Arabidopsis thaliana: one gene and its partners. The protein of the gene in region 3 binds, or shares a complex with, the protein of the main gene of each other region. Each region holds a gene or a part of one and is shown on either strand. Other genes may lie near its edges. The genes, in order: CSN6A, CSN6B, CSN5B and FUS5. A codon is read from its position in the direction of its gene.

The links.
Region 1: CSN5B (region 3) and CSN6A share a complex: the UniProt entries of both Arabidopsis thaliana proteins name them as parts of the CSN complex.
Region 2: the proteins of CSN5B (region 3) and CSN6B are in contact, whole or in part, in a cryo-EM structure (PDB 9IS6), measured with the Arabidopsis thaliana proteins. Residues at the interface, in NP_177279.1 of Arabidopsis thaliana: Asp30 (codon at 2,303), Phe33 (codon at 2,294), Tyr34 (codon at 2,291), Tyr35 (codon at 2,288), Ala63 (codon at 2,204), Leu64 (codon at 2,201), Leu66 (codon at 2,195), Leu67 (codon at 2,192), Lys68 (codon at 2,189), Val70 (codon at 2,183), Val71 (codon at 2,180), Arg74 (codon at 2,171), Asp98 (codon at 2,099), Ala101 (codon at 2,090), Leu102 (codon at 2,087), Pro103 (codon at 2,084), Tyr120 (codon at 2,033), Glu123 (codon at 2,024), Tyr124 (codon at 2,021), Thr127 (codon at 2,012), Asn128 (codon at 2,009), Leu130 (codon at 2,003), Ala131 (codon at 1,890), Gly132 (codon at 1,887), Arg133 (codon at 1,884), Leu134 (codon at 1,881), Thr179 (codon at 1,746), Val180 (codon at 1,743), Gly183 (codon at 1,734), Lys184 (codon at 1,731); in NP_567746.1 of Arabidopsis thaliana: Pro15 (codon at 2,245), Leu16 (codon at 2,248), Met18 (codon at 2,254), Leu19 (codon at 2,257), Asn20 (codon at 2,260), Ser22 (codon at 2,266), Asp23 (codon at 2,269), His24 (codon at 2,272), Phe25 (codon at 2,275), Thr26 (codon at 2,278), Arg27 (codon at 2,281), Thr30 (codon at 2,290), Gln31 (codon at 2,293), Pro35 (codon at 2,305), Glu78 (codon at 2,434), Ile80 (codon at 2,440), Phe92 (codon at 2,476), Lys95 (codon at 2,485), Lys96 (codon at 2,488), Leu99 (codon at 2,497), Tyr100 (codon at 2,500), Lys102 (codon at 2,586), Val103 (codon at 2,589), Pro144 (codon at 2,799), Ile146 (codon at 2,805), Asn147 (codon at 2,808), Gln150 (codon at 2,817), Lys151 (codon at 2,820), Asp152 (codon at 2,823), Leu153 (codon at 2,826).
Region 4: CSN5B (region 3) and FUS5 share a complex: the UniProt entries of both Arabidopsis thaliana proteins name them as parts of the CSN complex.

Annotation. Positions count from the first base shown.
Region 1 is NC_003076.8:22,782,848-22,787,134, reverse strand, and holds CSN6A (COP9 signalosome subunit 6A), read left to right. Parts: upstream 1-1,529; 5' UTR 1,530-1,604; coding exon 1,605-1,902; intron 1,903-1,991; coding exon 1,992-2,080; intron 2,081-2,166; coding exon 2,167-2,260; intron 2,261-2,459; coding exon 2,460-2,521; intron 2,522-2,640; coding exon 2,641-2,719; intron 2,720-2,800; coding exon 2,801-2,893; intron 2,894-3,026; coding exon 3,027-3,127; intron 3,128-3,219; coding exon 3,220-3,275; intron 3,276-3,436; coding exon 3,437-3,518; 3' UTR 3,519-3,751; downstream 3,752-4,287. Other genes in the region: PEX5 (peroxin 5), read right to left, coding at 1-75, 361-480; WRKY2 (WRKY DNA-binding protein 2), read right to left, coding at 3,998-4,287. UniProt on the Arabidopsis thaliana protein: Component of the COP9 signalosome complex (CSN), a complex involved in various cellular and developmental processes such as photomorphogenesis and auxin and jasmonate responses.
Region 2 is NC_003075.7:13,353,027-13,358,150, forward strand, and holds CSN6B (COP9 signalosome subunit 6B), read left to right. Parts: upstream 1-1,965; 5' UTR 1,966-2,202; coding exon 2,203-2,500; intron 2,501-2,580; coding exon 2,581-2,669; intron 2,670-2,756; coding exon 2,757-2,850; intron 2,851-2,945; coding exon 2,946-3,007; intron 3,008-3,097; coding exon 3,098-3,176; intron 3,177-3,267; coding exon 3,268-3,360; intron 3,361-3,550; coding exon 3,551-3,651; intron 3,652-3,780; coding exon 3,781-3,836; intron 3,837-4,218; coding exon 4,219-4,300; 3' UTR 4,301-4,569; downstream 4,570-5,124. Other genes in the region: WRKY34 (WRKY DNA-binding protein 34), read right to left, coding at 4,570-5,101. UniProt on the Arabidopsis thaliana protein: Component of the COP9 signalosome complex (CSN), a complex involved in various cellular and developmental processes such as photomorphogenesis and auxin and jasmonate responses.
Region 3 is NC_003070.9:26,850,607-26,854,949, reverse strand, and holds CSN5B (COP9-signalosome 5B), read right to left. Parts: upstream 2,545-4,343; 5' UTR 2,391-2,544; coding exon 2,001-2,390; intron 1,891-2,000; coding exon 1,609-1,890; intron 1,538-1,608; coding exon 1,390-1,537; intron 1,286-1,389; coding exon 1,200-1,285; intron 958-1,199; coding exon 880-957; intron 788-879; coding exon 695-787; 3' UTR 531-694; downstream 1-530. Other genes in the region: AT1G71235 (uncharacterized protein), read right to left, coding at 145-391; EBS1 (EMS-MUTAGENIZED BRI1 SUPPRESSOR 1), read right to left, coding at 3,220-3,414, 3,489-3,641, 3,818-3,932, 4,005-4,048, 4,128-4,268. UniProt on the Arabidopsis thaliana protein: Probable protease subunit of the COP9 signalosome complex (CSN), a complex involved in various cellular and developmental processes such as photomorphogenesis and auxin and jasmonate responses.
Region 4 is NC_003070.9:386,725-391,450, forward strand, and holds FUS5 (Proteasome component (PCI) domain protein), read right to left. Parts: upstream 3,085-4,726; 5' UTR 2,845-3,084; coding exon 2,686-2,844; intron 2,578-2,685; coding exon 2,502-2,577; intron 2,415-2,501; coding exon 2,326-2,414; intron 2,217-2,325; coding exon 2,127-2,216; intron 2,037-2,126; coding exon 1,992-2,036; intron 1,886-1,991; coding exon 1,815-1,885; intron 1,683-1,814; coding exon 1,544-1,682; coding exon of another isoform or gene 1,499-1,543; exon of another isoform or gene 949-1,498; coding exon 860-948; intron 780-859; coding exon 755-779; 3' UTR 553-754; downstream 1-552. Other genes in the region: SBI1 (Leucine carboxyl methyltransferase), read left to right, coding at 3,152-3,219, 3,313-3,526, 3,628-3,675, 3,759-3,840, 4,038-4,140, 4,279-4,399, 4,492-4,539. UniProt on the Arabidopsis thaliana protein: Component of the COP9 signalosome complex (CSN), a complex involved in various cellular and developmental processes such as photomorphogenesis and auxin and jasmonate responses.

The DNA of each region.
Region 1 (4,287 bases), on a different chromosome or scaffold from region 3:
TATCTGTTGGTCTTCAGAGTAAAATTGTGGCCGAGGACCTGACCGGTTTGCATTAGGTATCTCCTTGAGCCTTTCCTGCACAACAAATCACCAATCATCAACATTTCTTCAAATTCTCAGGAAATTTTAAACCTTTAAACAATTGTCAGCCAAATCACTTGACATAATCGAAGAACGTCTAAAACCCTAACACTACGGAAAGAAAAATCGAAACTTGGCAAGCAAATAACAAAACCCAACGAAAAATGAGATCTAATTCGACTTCTTAGTTCCAGGAGAACCAAGGAAAAGGCGAAGAATGGAATCAGGAGACTTCAAATGTCAACACTGTTTCGATCAAAAAGGAATCAGGAAGCTAACCTGGGTTTTGGAAGACGAACCAAGTAAAGCGTTGGTGAGAGCTCCGAGAGGATTAGAAGAAGAAGACGAACCAGGAACGGCACAAGCGGCTCCGCCGTTAACAAGGTCTCTCATCGCCATGTTTCCAACGGGTTTCTACTCCTCCGCCGCAATCACCGTCGTTGAATCTATCAGTATGGTTTCCTCCGTTGTCCGGAATTGATCATCAACCTCCCAAATCCTAATCTTTAGTTTGGCTCGTCTCGTGGCGGTGTTTTTTTTGTTTGTTGTGTTTGGTCACAGCTTCGTAAGAAATTATTAAATTTTTTGATAGTATTTTGGTAATTAATATTTATATATTATCCACACCACACACATTTTTAGGCTCACCAACACATTTTTGTTTAGTTATTTATTTTTGTGAAAAAACCGTTTTTTACAGTATCCGTAATTAAAAATGAATTGTTGTGAATATAGTTTTTTTTTATCTTTCTTTATCAAGATATGTTTTATCTTTTTGTCCGATTTGCTGCCACTTTTGAATTTTGTAGTTTCCTATTAGTGTTGAATTATATTTGCTTGATCATACCAAAGATAAATAAATTATATTGCTTGATTTTTGCTGGGTTTAGTTATATTTCTTGATTGATTGTGCAATGCGTTACAAACGAAGGTAGATTCTACTCTTGTACTCATATCACACATTTGGACGACCAACATGACTTCACTAATTTCATCAATAACTAAAAAAAAAAAAAAAATTCATCTACATCAACAATAGTTACAATATGCTAGGCATCTCTAGATTTTTTTTTCCTTTCATTAACTTGCAAGAATTTACACACTAGAAATCAAACATTTTGTGGAAAAAATTATAACCTTTAGTCTAACCACTGAACTATTGAACTTTCATATTGAAAAATTTGATGAATGTTGTCTGTTTTCAAATTTCTAGTACATTTTTTGTCAACTTCAGATATCTGATTTTATGAGTCTCAATCGTTTGGTTTATCTTATTTTCGTTTGTTAATTAATATAATTAGTTTCCAAAATGAAAAAATGTAATTGGAAAAACAAGTCATGAGGCCCAACCGCATATATAAGTCCTACGCTCGGCCCATACAGAAAAAACTAATATCCATATAGTTGACCCGGAAGACCCGATCTAGGATCCGAATCCACATTGATTTAAATAAAAAAAATCTTCATAAAAAAACTAAAAACCCAAAAACCAAAGAATTCATCAAAGGAGAGAGAGATCGACAATGGCACCTTCGTCATCAAGCGGTTTAACCTTCAAGCTACATCCTTTGGTAATCGTCAACATATCGGATCACTACACTAGGGTCAAAACTCAGCTCAATCCTCCTGCTTCAATCTGCGCAAGCGGCCATGGCTCAAACAACGGCGAAGCAATGTTCCAGCAAAACCCTAGGGTTTACGGATGTGTGATCGGTGTCCAGAGAGGTCGTACTGTTGAGATATTCAACAGTTTCGAGCTTTTATATGATCCTTCTACTCAAACCCTTGATAGATCTTTCCTCGAGAAGAAGCAAGAGCTCTGTAAGCTAAAGCTCACTCTTTTTATTCTCAACTATTGATGCAATCGTAAATTAAAGTTTGAACTTTTATCTGGTTTTATTGTTTATTAGATAAGAAGGTGTTCCCTGATTTCTATATTCTGGGATGGTACTCTACGGGAAGTGATGCTGAGGAATCTGATATGCATATCCATAAAGCTGTGAGTCCAATGCTCTCTCTAGTATTTTTGTATAATTGAGATTTGGTCTCTAAAAGTGTGGTTTTTGTGTCTGCTCTTGGTGACAGTTGATGGATATCAATGAATCTCCTGTTTATGTGCTTTTAAACCCTGCTATCAATCACACACAGAAGGATCTTCCAGTGACTATTTATGAAAGTGGTATGCTTCTTATAATGTCATATGGTTCTGTGGGTACATTCTGATATGTTAGCATGTTAGTATAGGTATATGCGTAGTTCAGAGTTTCTAGATATCTTCCCAAGTCTTTATCTTTATTGACTTCCAGATTTAGGTCAGATTGTTTTACAAGATCCTAACTTTTCTCTTTGTTTCATTGATTGATCTTCATTACTTGAAGAATTGCATGTCATTGATGGAATCCCGCAGCTAATTTTCGCTCATACAAGCTACACAATCGAGGTCTGTGCTTAAGTTTGATTCTGCAAATAATTTTTTTTTTTTTTGTCAAACATTCTGCAATTTAATCTATGTTATGAAAGTGTACATTGACTAAGATTTTGAGGTGTTATACAATGTAGACAGTTGAAGCTGAACGGATATCAGTTGATCATGTTGCACATCTTAAACCATCTGACGGAGGCTCAGCAGCAACCCAGTGTGAGCCTTATGTCACTAATACATATCATACTCCACTTCCTGAGTCTTACTGTTTTTGGCTGATTATTCGTTCATATGCAGTGGCTGCTCATCTTACTGGTATACATAGTGCCATCAAGATGCTTAATAGCAGAATCAGAGTGCTTTACCAAAATCTTGCTGCAATGCAGAAAGGTATATTCTGTTCTTTCCCAAGTTCCGATTCTTATCACCGTGGTTTCATGTTTACCAGTCCAGGATTCTAGCTGAAGATAGTCAAAGTTGTGTAAGTGTAATAATTTATCTGCCAACTCATTTATGTGTGTAGGTGATAAATCTTGTGACAACTCAGTTCTGAGACAAGTATCTAGCCTGCTAAGAAGATTGCCTGCCATGGAATCAGAGAGATTTCAAGATAATTTCTTGATGGTGAGTTAGTTAGATCTGCACTTGATTCTTTTCAGTGTAGCTTATTGTCTGAGATATTTCGCAACTTATGCTGGCATTTTTTCTTTTTGCAGGAGTACAACGACAAATTACTAATAACTTACCTAGCGATGATTACAAATTGTTCCAGGTTTGTACCTAATGCAACATTCTAAAGTATTTGAAAGCAAGTATATAGGCTAGCGAATGCTCTTTAACTAGTGGTTCTTTAGGAACTGTGAAAGATACGGTTTTCACCGGGCTGGTGGATTCTGTTATATCAGTTAATAATTTTGTTTGCTCAATCTGCAGCAACATGAACGAGATGGTCGACAAATTCAACACCGCATATGACAGAAACACTCGAAGAGGTGGAAGAACTGCATTCATGTAAAAGATCCTTTCCAGCGATTCTAGTTCTAAAGATCTTCTCTTGGTTCCTGAAACCATTTTTAACATTGCCTCTGTGAGAATCTATAACTCAGACGGCAAGACTTTATCCTCTTCATTGTTTCTATATCTATAAGAACATCTGCTTATCTATCAAAGCTCTTGTTTGATCTTGAACAAGTTTCTATTGTTAGTAAAAAGATTTTAAGGTTTGATTCTATCAGTCTCTCTAGTTACATCCACATCAGTCTCCAGTTAGCAATTGCAGTATTGCTACACAACACTCACTTTTTTCTTCTTTGTTGATTTCAATATAAGATAAAGAACCAGTAAAAAAGAAGACAAAACCAAGGAATGAACAATAAAACAGCCTTTACCTTCCCCAAAGTTTGAAACCAATAAATGAAAGAAGAAGAAGAAGCAGAAATTAAAAGTTATTATAAGGAGTGACCAAATGCAGAAGAAGAAGAAGAAGAGTAAATTTCAAATCTGAGGTAATCTACTCATGATCTGGTTATATACCGATTGTCCTGAATCTGAAACCGGTTCAACCTTTGGTTCCATCCCTCTCTGCATCATTGCTTCACTCATCCCAACCGGTTGTGTCATATACGGGTGAGGCAAACCCGGCATTTTCCCTTGACCATACGCTAAACCAGGCATTGAAAGATTAACCAAACCGGTTTGTCCTAAACCGAAGGAGAAACCAGAAGGAGGACCCAAATGTGGCTGAAAGCTAAAGGGACGGCTAAAAGGAGACTGATTGTTAGTTG
Region 2 (5,124 bases), on a different chromosome or scaffold from region 3:
ATGATTATACTTATATGGGTTATAGCGTGAAAAAAAGAAACATCTACTTTAAGCAACAGCAGAAAGCATTAAAGAATAGATAACCCCAATTTCCGAGAGGAACGTTAGGAGAAAGTTTTTGAAAATTTACAAAACTTTCTGTTAGTAGATGCTTAATTTCATCAGTGTTTTCCAAGCAATTTTGAATTAAGGATTAATAAAATTGTTATGTATATTATGAAATAATGAAGATATTTCGCTATCTCTAGAGTCTAAAGAGATTAGCAGTTGGTGCCTTGGTGGTTGACAAAAGAAAAGAAGAAGAGATTAGCAGTTGCGTTTAACATTGGTTTTATCTAGAAAGATGAACTGATGGTTACATATAAAACTAGTCGTTGTCTGTCAGTGTCCACTAAAGACTATTTTCTTCTTTTGATATACATTTCTAAATATACAACAATATCATTTCTCCGAGGTTTGTGAATTGTTTAGGTATAAAATAGTTTTCTACAATAACTTTTGCTATCGGGTGCAAAGACATTCTACCATAGAACGAGTTTAGTATAGTGTCATTTCGTAGATTCTTTATTCGGATTGGTTTTTCAATATCAACAAAATTCTGGTTCATTTTCTTCCCTCCTATAAACGAAGGTAAAAAGAATGAAGAAAAAAGAAAAGAAAGAATATTTTGTTAATGCATTATCTAACGTGTTAATGTGTCACTTTCATTTTTCTTAATCGTTTGTTGAAAACTTTTTGCAGTTGATTTCAGGAAAACGGAACACACATATATATATATATATGTCTTTTATTTTCAATACGGACCAAATCCATCATTTGCTAATCAGTGAGAAAACTAAATCGTGGTCTACTAGTTTATATAAATTGAAAAAAGAATCATAAATAATATGTCACATATCCAACCTAAAGATTTATGTCTATACATGTAAAAATGTAAATGAGCATATTCCCAAATTTCCCACAAGTATATAGCACTACCTACACTCACGCTTCTTCAAAGTGAAGGCGATGGTGGAAAAAAGCGTAGACGATGACTTGATAAGATTGACTGAAGAAAAGAAAAAAAGTTATCATAAGTCAAAAAGCATGTCGTTAGAGTTTGACGAGATCCCATGCATGATTATATTGTCGGATACAATTGTTTGAACAATACGGTTGGAAAAATCTACCGTAATATGAAGACTTGAATGACATAACTAAAGATTGTACCTTGCAAGCCAGCAATGTGTTAATGATATGAGTAAGGGTGCAGAGGCTGCGGCTGGTGGCTACTGGCTAGTGATAAGCAATTTACGATGTAATGACAGATATATCATAGGAGACTAGGAGTTATATATGGTATATATAGAATCTAAAATAACATATTTATCAATTTACTATATTAAGTTTTATGGTTCCAAACTCAAAACTAATTGTTTATGAGTAGATTTGGTTTATATACTGTATATTACTCATATTCTATTTCCACTTTTAATGTGGGATTTCTCATAAACTATATACAGTTATATTTTTAATTAATGAAATAACAATAATACAGATTTAAATGTAGCCTTAACTATTTTTATGAAATTTAAATGAAATTTAATTTAAAAGATTGCATTCAGAATACAAAACTGTAATATTCTGTAAAATATTGATAGGTACTACTTACAACATAGGAAACATATTTAAAGATATGTTATATAAACTAAAAATAGTTTAAAATATCAATATATATATATATATATATATATATTACGAAAAGAAGAATTAAAACAGACTACACACATAATAAAATTTTAATAGTAACACTTACAAACATATCCAATAATATTAAATAAAATTAATTCATTATGATCTTTATGTTATTTCTATATACTCAAACCAAAAAAAAAGAAGTAAATGATTCAAAATCCAATCATAATTATTTTTCAAATTCATTAAAATACAAGAAATTTCATATTAAAAAAATAGATATTTCTTTCAAAGATTTATATTCAAATTATAAATATATACTAAAACGCTAAAAAATTAAGTACATGCTATAATCTTTTCCATTATTTTTCTAACAAAAGAAAGTTATATATGGGCTAAACTTAGAAGGAAAGCCCAAGAGGCCAAGACTATATAAAGATTCATGACCCGAGTTTAAGATCCGATTTCAGAATTTGGGACTAAAGGAGGACAACGACAAGCGCCGGGAAAAAATCGAGAGCGACAACAATGGCGCCTTCTTCGTCGAGCGGTCTCACGTTCAAGCTACATCCTCTGGTGATGCTTAACATATCCGATCACTTCACTAGGGTTAAAACTCAGCTTAATCCTCCCGCCGCTTCTTGCGCCACCGGGAATGGCTCCAACAACGCCGACGCGATGTTACTGCAAAACCCTAGGGTTTATGGCTGCGTCATCGGTCTCCAGAGAGGTCGTACGGTTGAGATCTTCAACAGTTTCGAGCTGATATTCGATCCTGCTCTTGATACTCTCGACAGATCCTTCCTCGAGAAGAAGCAAGAACTCTGTAAGTTTACTTACACTCGCTCACTTTTGTTGTCGATTGTTTGATACTCTTGCTAATTTGTGAGTTTTGTTATTTTTTAGATAAGAAGGTGTTCCCTGACTTCTACGTATTGGGATGGTATTCTACGGGAAGTGACGCTACCGAATCTGATATGCATATCCACAAAGCTGTGAGTAGTGTAGCTTTAATGTTTAATATAAATTTAATTGAATTTAGGATTCTCATTGTACTGATTTGTTGAGGTTTTCATCTACAGCTGATGGACATTAATGAATCTCCTGTGTATGTTCTTTTAAATCCTGCTATCAATCATGCACAGAAGGATCTTCCTGTGACTATCTACGAAAGCGGTAAAAATTGGTTATTTGCATCACTGATTGTCTTATTGTTTTATAGATTATAATCTTGCTAATCCTGTCTTTTTGATTGTTTTCAAAATTTGAAGAATTTCATGTCATTGATGGAATTCCTCAGTCGATTTTCGTGCATACCAGCTACACAATTGAGGTATGTGTTTAGGCCACTTGATCTGTAATCTATCTATGTGATATGAGAGTGGACTTTCAATAACATTGCAATGATTGTAAACGCGTGCAGACAGTTGAAGCTGAAAGAATATCTGTTGATCATGTTGCACATCTTAAGCCATCTGATGGAGGCTCAGCTGCGACTCAGTGTAAGCTTTATTATCACTTCATATTTATCATAATCTGTTCTTTCTTTTTCATCTGCATGGAATTTTAGGTTGATTCCTCGATTTTGTGCAGTGGCTGCTCATCTTACTGGAATACATAGTGCCATCAAGATGCTTAATAGCAGAATCAGAGTGCTATACCAGCATATTGTCGCTATGCAGAAAGGTATATTCTTGCTCAAGTCCCCACTCTCGGTCCCTCTTCAATTTGTTAATCAAGCTTTTGTGACCTGTCCCTTGATCTTAGAATATTTCTATGTGTTTTCCTACGGGGAAGAAAGAATTAAAAGGGTGTTAGAAGATGATTTTGAGCAAGAGTAATGTGGTACTAATGACTTATGTGATTCTGCATCTAGGTGATAAACCTTGTGAGAACTCAGTTCTGAGACAAGTATCTAGTCTGCTCAGAAGTTTGCCTGCCGCAGAATCAGAGAAGTTCAATGAAAATTTCTTGATGGTAAGTAGTACCTTACCTTTTTCTAGCAATGTTGGTTAAATAAAGTGGCCTTCGAATCTCTTAAATTCTTAATGTAGCTTGTTGTTGTGAATGATATCTTTATAAATATGATGTTCTCTTCTTTTGCAGGAGTACAACGACAAATTGCTGATGTCTTACCTAGCAATGATCACGAATTGTACCAGGTATGTGCTCGACACGCTATTCCATTTAACTATTTGAATAAAAGAATGATGGACATGCATGCAAATCTTTTGCTTGATACAATGCAATGTTTTACGATACCAAGACAGATGAAATCACCAGTACTTGGTTGAGGCTGACATTGAGATAGTTTGTTTTATTTAGATTAAGAACTAAATCTAGGACCTTGCTCAATTATCCTTGTTATAATTAAGATACTGAGCCTGTAGTAGCTAAGGGAATATAAGCTTCTTTTTAAAAAAAAAATCTAATCTTGTGCTACACCTTGACCAATCCATATGTCAATTTCATTCCAACGAAATGTCCTGAAAGAATCCTTTGTATATTTGATCTCTTACTCTCCTTTTTCCCCCCAAAATGCAGCAACATGAACGAGGTGGTTGACAAATTCAACACTGCATACGACAAACACAGCCGAAGAGGTGGTAGGACTGCGTTCATGTAAAGATTAGTTTCAATGTAAAAAAACCTTTTCTTTCTTTTGGTGGTCTGGTCCCTAAGTGAAAATTTAGAACTCTTTTAAGGCATTTCACTTTTCGGAACCAAACAAACAGCTAGGAAGCTTTTCTTCTGTTTAAGCTTTGTCTAGACAGAAGCTAAGTTTAGGCCTAACTAAATTTTGCGACAAGACTGTAAAAACAAAACAGCTTTTACCTTCTCTCAATTTTTCATTTATTCAAAAATTTGAGCAATCAGTGAACAAAGAGATTTGTTTCATATCTGTCGTAATCTACTCAACATCTCTCTGCATATCAATGAGCTCGCTGACAAATCAAGTCCCTGTTGTGGTGACACTGGTTCCACCTTCGGCTGTGCTGCTAACTGCAACATTAGGCCAGTTGGATCCCCAATGTCAGGCGCCTGCAGGCTGGTAAGCTTCTCTTGCCCAATAGTTAGACCAGGCATTGAAAGATCAGAAAGCTCAGATTGGCCTATGTAAACGGAGAAACCTGTAGGATGCCTCAGGTGTGACTGGAAGTCAAATAGAGATGAGTTGGCTGTGGCCAGTCCCTCAGATCTACTGTGTGGCATTGGATAGTGCACATTGTGGTTGTGGGTCTGAGTCGCTAAACTGCCTTGGAGAGTCCCTGAACTGCCTGCACCGACGTGGCTGCTGTTGCGTGCTGCTGGTACAACGTGGGTGTGCTTGCCTATATAAGTTGTTAGTACGCTCTTGAAGTCATCAGAGGCTCTCTCTACATGCTTCGTTACGGTACATCCATTAGCTGTGCATTTATAGTAGCTCCTGAAAACATAGAAAACTGATTT
Region 3 (4,343 bases):
GTTCCTTCGATGCCGTTCTTTAACCAGTTTCCAAACCCCTTGGTCGGGCACGAACAGCGCGAGAAACAGCCATATGCTATGTTTCTCGCTACATGTCAAATTTGTAGGAAACATATCCGTGCGGAGCTATAGACAATAACTGACTGTTTTCTTGAAGGTTTGGTATCCCCGGACTTCCACGAAGCTCCGGATAACTAAGGCTTTCTAAGATTCTCCGCAATACTACGTCTTCAAGTGTATAAGTTTGCCATGTTGTGTGAAGTGCGTTCTTGATAAGCTTGTTGAAGATGGTCAGGTTGGCAGTACATAGCTCCTTGTGGGCGTCGTCGTCGACAGTCCCATAAGGAACACTTTTCATCAACAAACAAAGACAGAGAAAGATGATTGCCATTGTTAGCCATGTTTTAGTACCACCTATTCACGGACAACGTGAGTGCAGAGAAGGAAAGAGAGAGGGGATAGAGTTGGAAAAGATCACTAGGTTTCTGATTTCCATAAATACAATTTTTGTTTAAGGGCTTAAGATTATTCCTTTAACCCCGACGAATCGAATGGGCTTAAAAACATTTCTTTAACCAAAATCTTCTTCTGTATTATTCTCATTAGCATTATAATTCTTTACACAACAGAAAATAAATGAAAGGACAACAAATGATGGGTCAATCCAAAACTAGAAACCAAAAGAAGAGCAACTTCAATATGTAATCATAGGGTCTGGATCCGACGAGTCAGTGGGAGATTTGTTGTTGGACTGACGCATTGAGTTGAATAATTCATCTTTTATGACCTACAAGTACAACAATGATGGATTTTGAGTCTGTGAAATACACGAACCTTAAGGGAGATATGTCACCATTTCGTTTCAATATTATTACTCACCTGCGACATTAGTCCATGGACCTGTTCCACAGTTATCTTTGCGCTATCCCGAGTTATCTTAGTTAGTTGAGACTCATCCTGAAAGTGATTTAGAACACACGTCAAATGAGATCTTTAACAAGCAACACCCATTAACATTCTCGAAAGTTATATATCTGTACAACCTTCAACAACACTTTCATTTCAACTAAACAGAACACCTCCAGGTCCCAATAACCAAAACATTTGAAGATATATCCTCTTAGTAGCTAGATGTTTACAGAGGCACTTAACTAGCCACCGTAATCGCAATTAAAATTTGATGAACCACTAGGACATACCTCTTTTTTCTTATGAAGGGATGATGGCACAACTCCTCCAAAGCGAGACTGAACCAGATGACTCTCGGCTTGCTCAAGCTTCTCAGCTTCATTGGTAAAATTACGAAAACGATTATATAACACATTACTTGACTGTGACTTGAGAAAAAAAAGTAAGAGTGAATGATTTAGGCCATATCCAAGAGTTTACCTAAGTCTGATATTTGTCCAGCAACATAGTCTCCATTACCCAGCAGTGGAGAAGAAGAAAGAGTGTTCACCCAGTACTTGTTCCATAGTAGATCCAGAAGGTGAGAATCAAGAGATGACTTGAAATAAGTGACATCTAATGAATAGTACTGCCAAAACCAAAAGCCAAACATAAGAATCATGTTGGGACCTTGCACCGAGAAAAATCAAGAAAATGTACCTGTTTGCAGTGAACACCAAAGTCCTCAATCTTATTTAAAGGAATAGTTTGATACTCAGAAACAGGTTCATCTGGAGGCTTATATCCTTTAGAGTATGTTCTGAAAGCACCAATCTCAACCTTACCAGCTGAAACAGTCCTTGTGGGATCAATAACAACAGCTAAAAATGGCTCCTGATGCTGTTGGTTAAGCCTCTGCGTAGAAACATCAATACCGGAGAGCCAGCATCCATATCCAGGGTGAGAGTGATACCATCCAACAACATTCTCCAGCCGCCCCGCCTTATAAAGGTCAAGTTATTATAACCATAATCAATCAAACTGTTCTGACTTATATACAAACTTTCTAAAGAAAAAAATCAAAACTTTGAAGTTTCTTGAATCTCACTTACGAGCTTGTTGGTCTGTGAATACTCAACCATGTACTCATAAGCATCATCCTGAGCATTAACCCTTGTCTCAGTACCTTCCACTGGTAAAGCAAAAGCATCCATAACAATGATAGTATCACCATCGGTCTTACCTTGCATAAGACCCATTATTTCAATTGTACCACCAGAGCGAGCGTGAACCACCATCTTAAGAAGAGCGAGCGCTGAGATCTTGACTCGTTTAAAGTAGTGAGGATCATTCTCCCACGGTTTCTCTTGCTGGAACCTAGTCTGTGAAGTATCGTCGTAGTAGAAGATGTTGTCGGAGGTTGAATCAGGTGAGTCTACTGTTAGAATGCTGTTCTCTAGTTCCCATGTCTTCCTTGCTATCGTCGACGACGAACCCTCCATTCTTTTTCGAATTAGGAATTCAGTTGCAGAAATCTAGGGTTTCATACGGAATCGATGGAGTGTGATCGATCTGTCTGCTGAAGAATTGAAAACTGTGTCAAAAATGTTACTTCGGGGATTGACTTATATATAAGAAGAGAAAAGTGGTGAAAATTAATTCCTCTGGATTCTTCTCTAATTTAGAAATAAAATTTAAAATCCTTTTAGTTTGTTTTTTTTTTTTTTTTTTTGACGGTATTAAAATCTTTTAATTGAATAACACAAAATTTTAAAATCTATTAAACATGATTTACAAAGATATAAACTCCAATAACACTAAATTTTAAAATTGAATTTAAAATCATTAATTAAATAACAGTGTATTAGTGTTGGATTTCTTTCTATTAAAATCCATTAATAAATAACGTCCCCTTGTAAAACCGTAGATTTCTTCCCTCTTCTAAAATAATTTATTGAATTACTTCAGCTTTTCTATCAGAGTGTCAGACCCTTTGCTAAAAGAACACGTATTGCTTTTTATACAGACACTGACACGTCAGTTTTCCGGTTCGGTTTTTTTACTGGTTTGTCGGTTTGGTTTGATTTGAGATTTTGGACGGACGAGTTTACAAATACGTTATGAGTGACTATGTTTGTAATTGATTCAAAATCATATTATACTGATATTCTTATTCTCCTGCAATCTGTTGACTTTATCTTCTGTCTAATTTATGTGAGAGATGTCTAAGAAACTGTAGCTACAAAACTAGAAACCTTATCTAGCAAATGCAAAATAGCCATGATTGTCTAATTTATCTTCTCCTCTTTTGAAACTTCAGGAGCATTGAATTTACAGTTCTGCTTTAGATTCCAAGTCTTGTTCTGTATCTTCAGAGATGTCATTTGATGGAAGAGGATTAGGCTTGTCTGTAGCAGGAGCAGCTACTGGCTCGTTGAGTTCCACATCTTCACCCAAGATTTTTGCTGTGAATTTTCGTGCTTCGAGATCAAGATCGGGCCATTCGGTTACGATTCTTCGGGCACCCTGCAGAAGAACACCGCATTATAACAAACAACGCTTTGTGAGTGTTGTAGATATGAGGAAAGCCATCATTTTACCTGAAGCTTTGGTTCCTTTGTCATGGGATTATTGCAAAGATCGATTGTTCTGGCCTTGGCTTTTGTGGCGTTTCCACACCAGGATTCACACCACAACCACTCTTGGGGAAGTGAAAATATAGGAACAGTATGCTGAGCATAATTAGGAAGATCCTGAAACAAAATAATGACATGCCATCAATATGTTTGAACCTGGAACTCTAAAGATTCAGAGCATGGTGTATGGTAAGAGTCAAATGCAAAAGCCTTTCAAATAAAGTAAAACGATAGTGTGACCACCAAAGAAAGGTTACAGCCCTAAGTATAGAGAACCATATTATACAACTTGCCTGATCTAGGTTGGACAAACTGTTTGGATCCTTGCTAAGCGTCTCATAGAATACTCTTAGATTATCTCCTGCCGCTGTCTCTCGGAACTTAACCAAGTCAACAACGTATAGAGCACTACAGATAGAACAAGGCACATTAAGAATGGGAAAAGCAACAACTTACTGAGGTTCAAGTAGGTTTTTTTACCTGATATGGTATGGCCTACCACGTAAATGTTCTTTCCAGAAACCCTGTTCAAAGCAATTGAGAATGTAAGAGTATGGAAACCAAAACTACCTCTACAAGCAAAACAAAAAGATTAATGTTTACCTGTTTCCAAAATTTATAGCCATCCATTTCCCTGTTGTTGTCACAAAAAGGAGTATACGCGAGAGGTCTTCCTTTAATATCCATATCATACAGTTCTCCCATGTCTGTCCTTATAATTTGATCTGCGTCGACAAATATAACCTACAGAACACATGTCGAATACCTTATAGTGACATCTTCCAAGCATCAAAATCGCAAGAAAGAAATGAAAATATG
Region 4 (4,726 bases), about 26 Mb from region 3:
ATTATGTTGTAACAATTATACATACAGTAGGAGAGATTTTAGGAGTCTTAGTTTATTTATTTAACTTCAAGATTCACAAACATGTTTTCTAATTACAAAAAAAAAAAACACTATTATTCCTTTATCCTTGCTCTTAAGGGTCTGTTTGAGAATTAGTTAGGTGAAAACATGTTTGAGAAATCGGCGGGGATTGTGTTTTCATGGTCATAAAACATGACCATAAACACTGAAAGAGATTATGATTATGCTGAGGGAGTGTGAGAAATCGGCAGGGATTGTCATCATATAGTACTAGACTACTAGTACTTTGTATAACGTTCTCAGGAACATGTTTCGGTCAGAATTCCGATGGTGGGATCTAGTCGATGACGTAATAAACAACACTTTCATGCCCGCCTAAGAGGCAGCTGTCGCAGACTAAGCAGGTTTCAACATGTGAGGGGCCAAGGCGCTGGCTAGTGGTCAAAAGACGGAACACTGAGAATATCTGTATCATTCCATATGATCCAAGCGCCTAGCTTTGCTCAAGTGTCAAGACTATTGATTACTGAATACTAAATTCAAAGCCATTTTTCTTTTAATGGGCAGAGAGACACCAAATTTGCTAATGAGGGAAATCAAACATAACAAGGGGTTATTGTGAGAGAGAACAGAGGATCTTATACAAGTTGAAAATCCGCAACCAAATAATCATAATCTACTCTCGGTAAATGGAATGTCAATCCGCACTGACCATTTGCTCTCTCTTGCTCCTCTACCTTGTTACAGGATGCCTCCTCCTGCGTTCCAAAGTTGAATGTGTGTATGTTATATCATCTCCTTTGTACTTATCATCTCACTCATATCTAATATTCGTTACCTCTTTGGTCGGATCCCATCTTCTTCGTAGTCCATCACTCCACTTGGTTCCCCAAACATCTCCTTATTCCCTCTGATGTCAACATCCCCCTGCCCACAACGTAAGTAAGACTATATCGACCACCACCCTTCCCAATCATATTTCAGACACAAAAAACCAAACGAACCTTGTTTCATTTCATTTAACAATCAGACAATAACCAAGTACTACCATTCCAAACAATTCATGTCCTCTAATGACTTTAACACTTCACTAACAGCCGTTGTGATTGCGTTCCTTGTTTGTTTTTAATTAAAGAAAACTTCATAATATATGTTTACATCCAACATGTAAGATTTCTTGTTCCACGAAAGAACGGTTAAAAAAGCCCGCCACAGTTGGCTGATCGATTCGTTTGTTATTAAGAAACATAACTTTTTAATCTATGATAGGACTGGACTTGGAAAGCTCAAAGACCTAGAAAGATTTTTTTATCAAGTCTCTCCCATCCCCGCTTACATAGACCTAAGCTATTAATAAGAAGAAACCCACTACAATTCTCTGAAGAAATATAAGACAGAATAGCTGACTGGACTCTAACTCATGGTCACAAGACAGTAACCAAGAAAGAATGTAACCAATATTAGTTACATAATATACTTAGTAGGGAAAAGTGAAGCCAATAGGACTCCAAGCGCGACTGACCTTCATGGACAGAGACTTCTTCACTTCTTCCACCCCTTCTTCTGCTTCCTTACGATGTTTTTTGTCCATCTCACTCATATTGTCCGCCCATTTGATCTTGTCTTGAATTGAAATGAGCAGATTCTCTGACGTGTTCAACCTAGACATCAATTTGGGCCAACACATAAAAGAGTAGGACGTCATTAGCCATGTATTCTAACATCACGTACAAGTTCTTATAATTAGATATAGAAGGCAAAAAATCCTGGATCTAAGGGAAGAAGAAAACTACCAGTTGGACAATGTGTGTAACATATTCCCTAGTTGACCTGGCCTTAGATCCCTACCAGCTGCAAACGGAACCTGCATGGTTGCAAGAGATATATGATGTTTAGAAGGGGGGGCTCGTACGTTTAGAAACAAAGCACAATGGTTAAAATAGGAAAAGGAGGCCCAAACCAAAACACACCTCAAAACATCTTTTTAACTGATCCAGTTTTCCCCTAACTATACCCTGCAAAGTGTAAAAGAAAAAAAATGAGCACCATGCGTTGTCACAGTTAGTTGTCAAATAGAGATTAGAAGACTGCTAAAGAGTACTCACCGCATACATGCATTCATTGATAAGAAAGTCCTCGAGTTCGCGAACATTGGAAACATCTAACTCGACCATTAGTGTATCATAGGGCAATACCTATAACAAGCAGAGTGAGAGAGACATTCAGTTAGGCAAACAGCAGGGGAAAAAGATAATGGAACAGAGTAGATAGCAGGAGCAAATCATGAACCTAAGACAAATATACCTTGTTAGACTCAGCAAGGGTGAGGACAGTGAGCTGCTTAAGCTTAAGAATTTGGTCAGGGGACAAGTGCGGAAGACGGGTGGCATTGCCTAGTGTTTCGATGAAAGCAAGTCAAGAGGAGAGAATATGACAAAAGGGAAAACGAATTGAAATAGCATATGACAAAGGGGTCATACATTTGTAGTCTCCCCAGGTGCCATGGGCAAACAAGCGTAGTAGATCCAGGTACACAGAATCTGTGGTTCCTTCAAGCTGCACAATTACGATTAATCAGCTACTAGTATCTATCAAGTTGTTATGATCAGCGAAGAACAAAAGCATGTAAAACCCTAGATCGTGAAAAGCATAAAGTAGTAGTACCTGGGCAACATTGGGTAGAGCCAAAATCTCGGAGAAGGCGAAGAGAGAAGGATGCGATGTGGCTTCGATGATGAGCGGGCCCAGAGCCTCGGATTTGCAAGTAGAAGCTCGCTTCACGAGCTGATCAATGATCTCGGCTTGCTTCTGCTCGATATCCATCTTCCAAACAAATCGATTTCCGGTGGTTTAGGGTTTTCTTTCTTACCACACTAATAACGAATAAAATCCCAAACTTCTTCTCTCTGCTCCTTCCTTCTTCCGTTTTTATATTACTGTTTTTTTTATGTGACCGACCGAATTCTTCTAGAATCTTGTTTAATAATTGGGCTCAAATTTCGTAGTTTCTGGGCCAAGGCCTACTAAGAGAAATATTAGAAACCGCGTCTGGTGAGCCCAAACAATCCCGGGGAAGAGAGAGACTATTGAATATTCTTCTTCCTTCATTTTGGCTGAGAGAGCGACGACGATGGCGGAATCTCGCAGCAACAGAGCGGCGGTTCAGGCTACTAACGACGATGCATCCGCCAGTAAATTGTACGCCTACCTCTTTCTCTCTTCTTTAATTAGGGCTCTTCTTTTTTTTTTGTTGTTGTTGTGGATCTTTGAGCCTAGATAATATTTTTAAAGGTCTTGTGTCAAAAAGGGATATATGAAAGACGACTATGTTCATCTCTTTGTGAAAAGACCTGTTCGAAGATCTCCCATCATTAATCGAGGTTACTTTTCCCGTTGGGCTGCCTTCCGAAAGCTTATGTCTCAGTTTCTTCTAAGCGGGACAAGTTCTAAGAAACAGATACTGTCTCTCGGAGCTGGCTTTGATACTACCTATTTTCAGTTGCTGGTGCGTCTTCTTTTTCTTCTCCTTTTTGTTAGCTTTTACCAAATTCACCATTCTTCGGCTTATTCCAGGGATCTCTCGCTTCTTCTCTTCTCATTTTGTAGGATGAGGGGAATGGGCCCAATCTCTATGTGGAACTTGATTTTAAGGAGGTACTACTGGATGAGCGTGCTGACAAAAGTATCCATCATGTGTTTTGAGTCTAATGCCTAAATGGATTTGCTTCTTACGTTAGGTGACTAGCAAGAAGGCTGCTGTTATACAAAACTCCAGCCAACTCAGGGACAAACTAGGAGCCAATGCATCTATTTCTATTGGTAAGAGCCTTTTTTCCCCCCATGTATTATTATGTAGAATGATCCTTTTCATTATGATGCATTTCAGCTTGTGCACTCATATTTTTCTTCATTCCGCTTCTACTAGCTACTAACTCAACCACCCCCTTTTACTTTGTACCGTTAGCGTCTAGTTTCAGTTGCTTACTCTTAACTCGTTGGGCTGTTTATCTCTACAGACGAAGGACAAGTTCTCAGTGATCATTACAAGTTACTTCCAGTTGACCTGCGCGATATACCAAAATTAAGAGATGTTATATCCTTTGCAGATATGGATCTAAGGTATCCATGAATAATTTTTATTTATTTTACACACTGTTATCTTGAACCTTCAACCCTCTTCTTCTACCCGGGTTTAAGATATATGGTAACAGATACTTACTGGTGATAGACCTACTTGATCCCTAATATCATTATCAGTCTGCCGACGTTTATTATTGCAGAATGTGTTTTGATTTATCTGGACCCCGATTCAAGCCGTGCCATCGTCAATTGGTCGTCAAAAACGTTTTCAACTGCAGTATTTTTCTTATATGAGCAGGTTAGCTCAACTGTGATTTTCCTTGTCTGCATAATATTGCAGATACGAATCTTATTGCTTATGTGTCTAACCCGTTGGGTTTCTGTTTGCAGATCCATCCAGATGATGCATTTGGGCATCAAATGATTAGAAATTTGGAGGTAAGAACGTGTACTCTACTACTCTAGTTACAGCGACATCTTCATTAGTAAAGCTTTTTTGAGATTTTTGTCAAAATATGGATACTAGTATGACACTAAAATATTCTAGTATTGCCACATGGGTTCATGTTGTACTGATCAATTACCTTCATTTAAACTTGTTCTGAAAGCTTAACGGTGTTTCTGT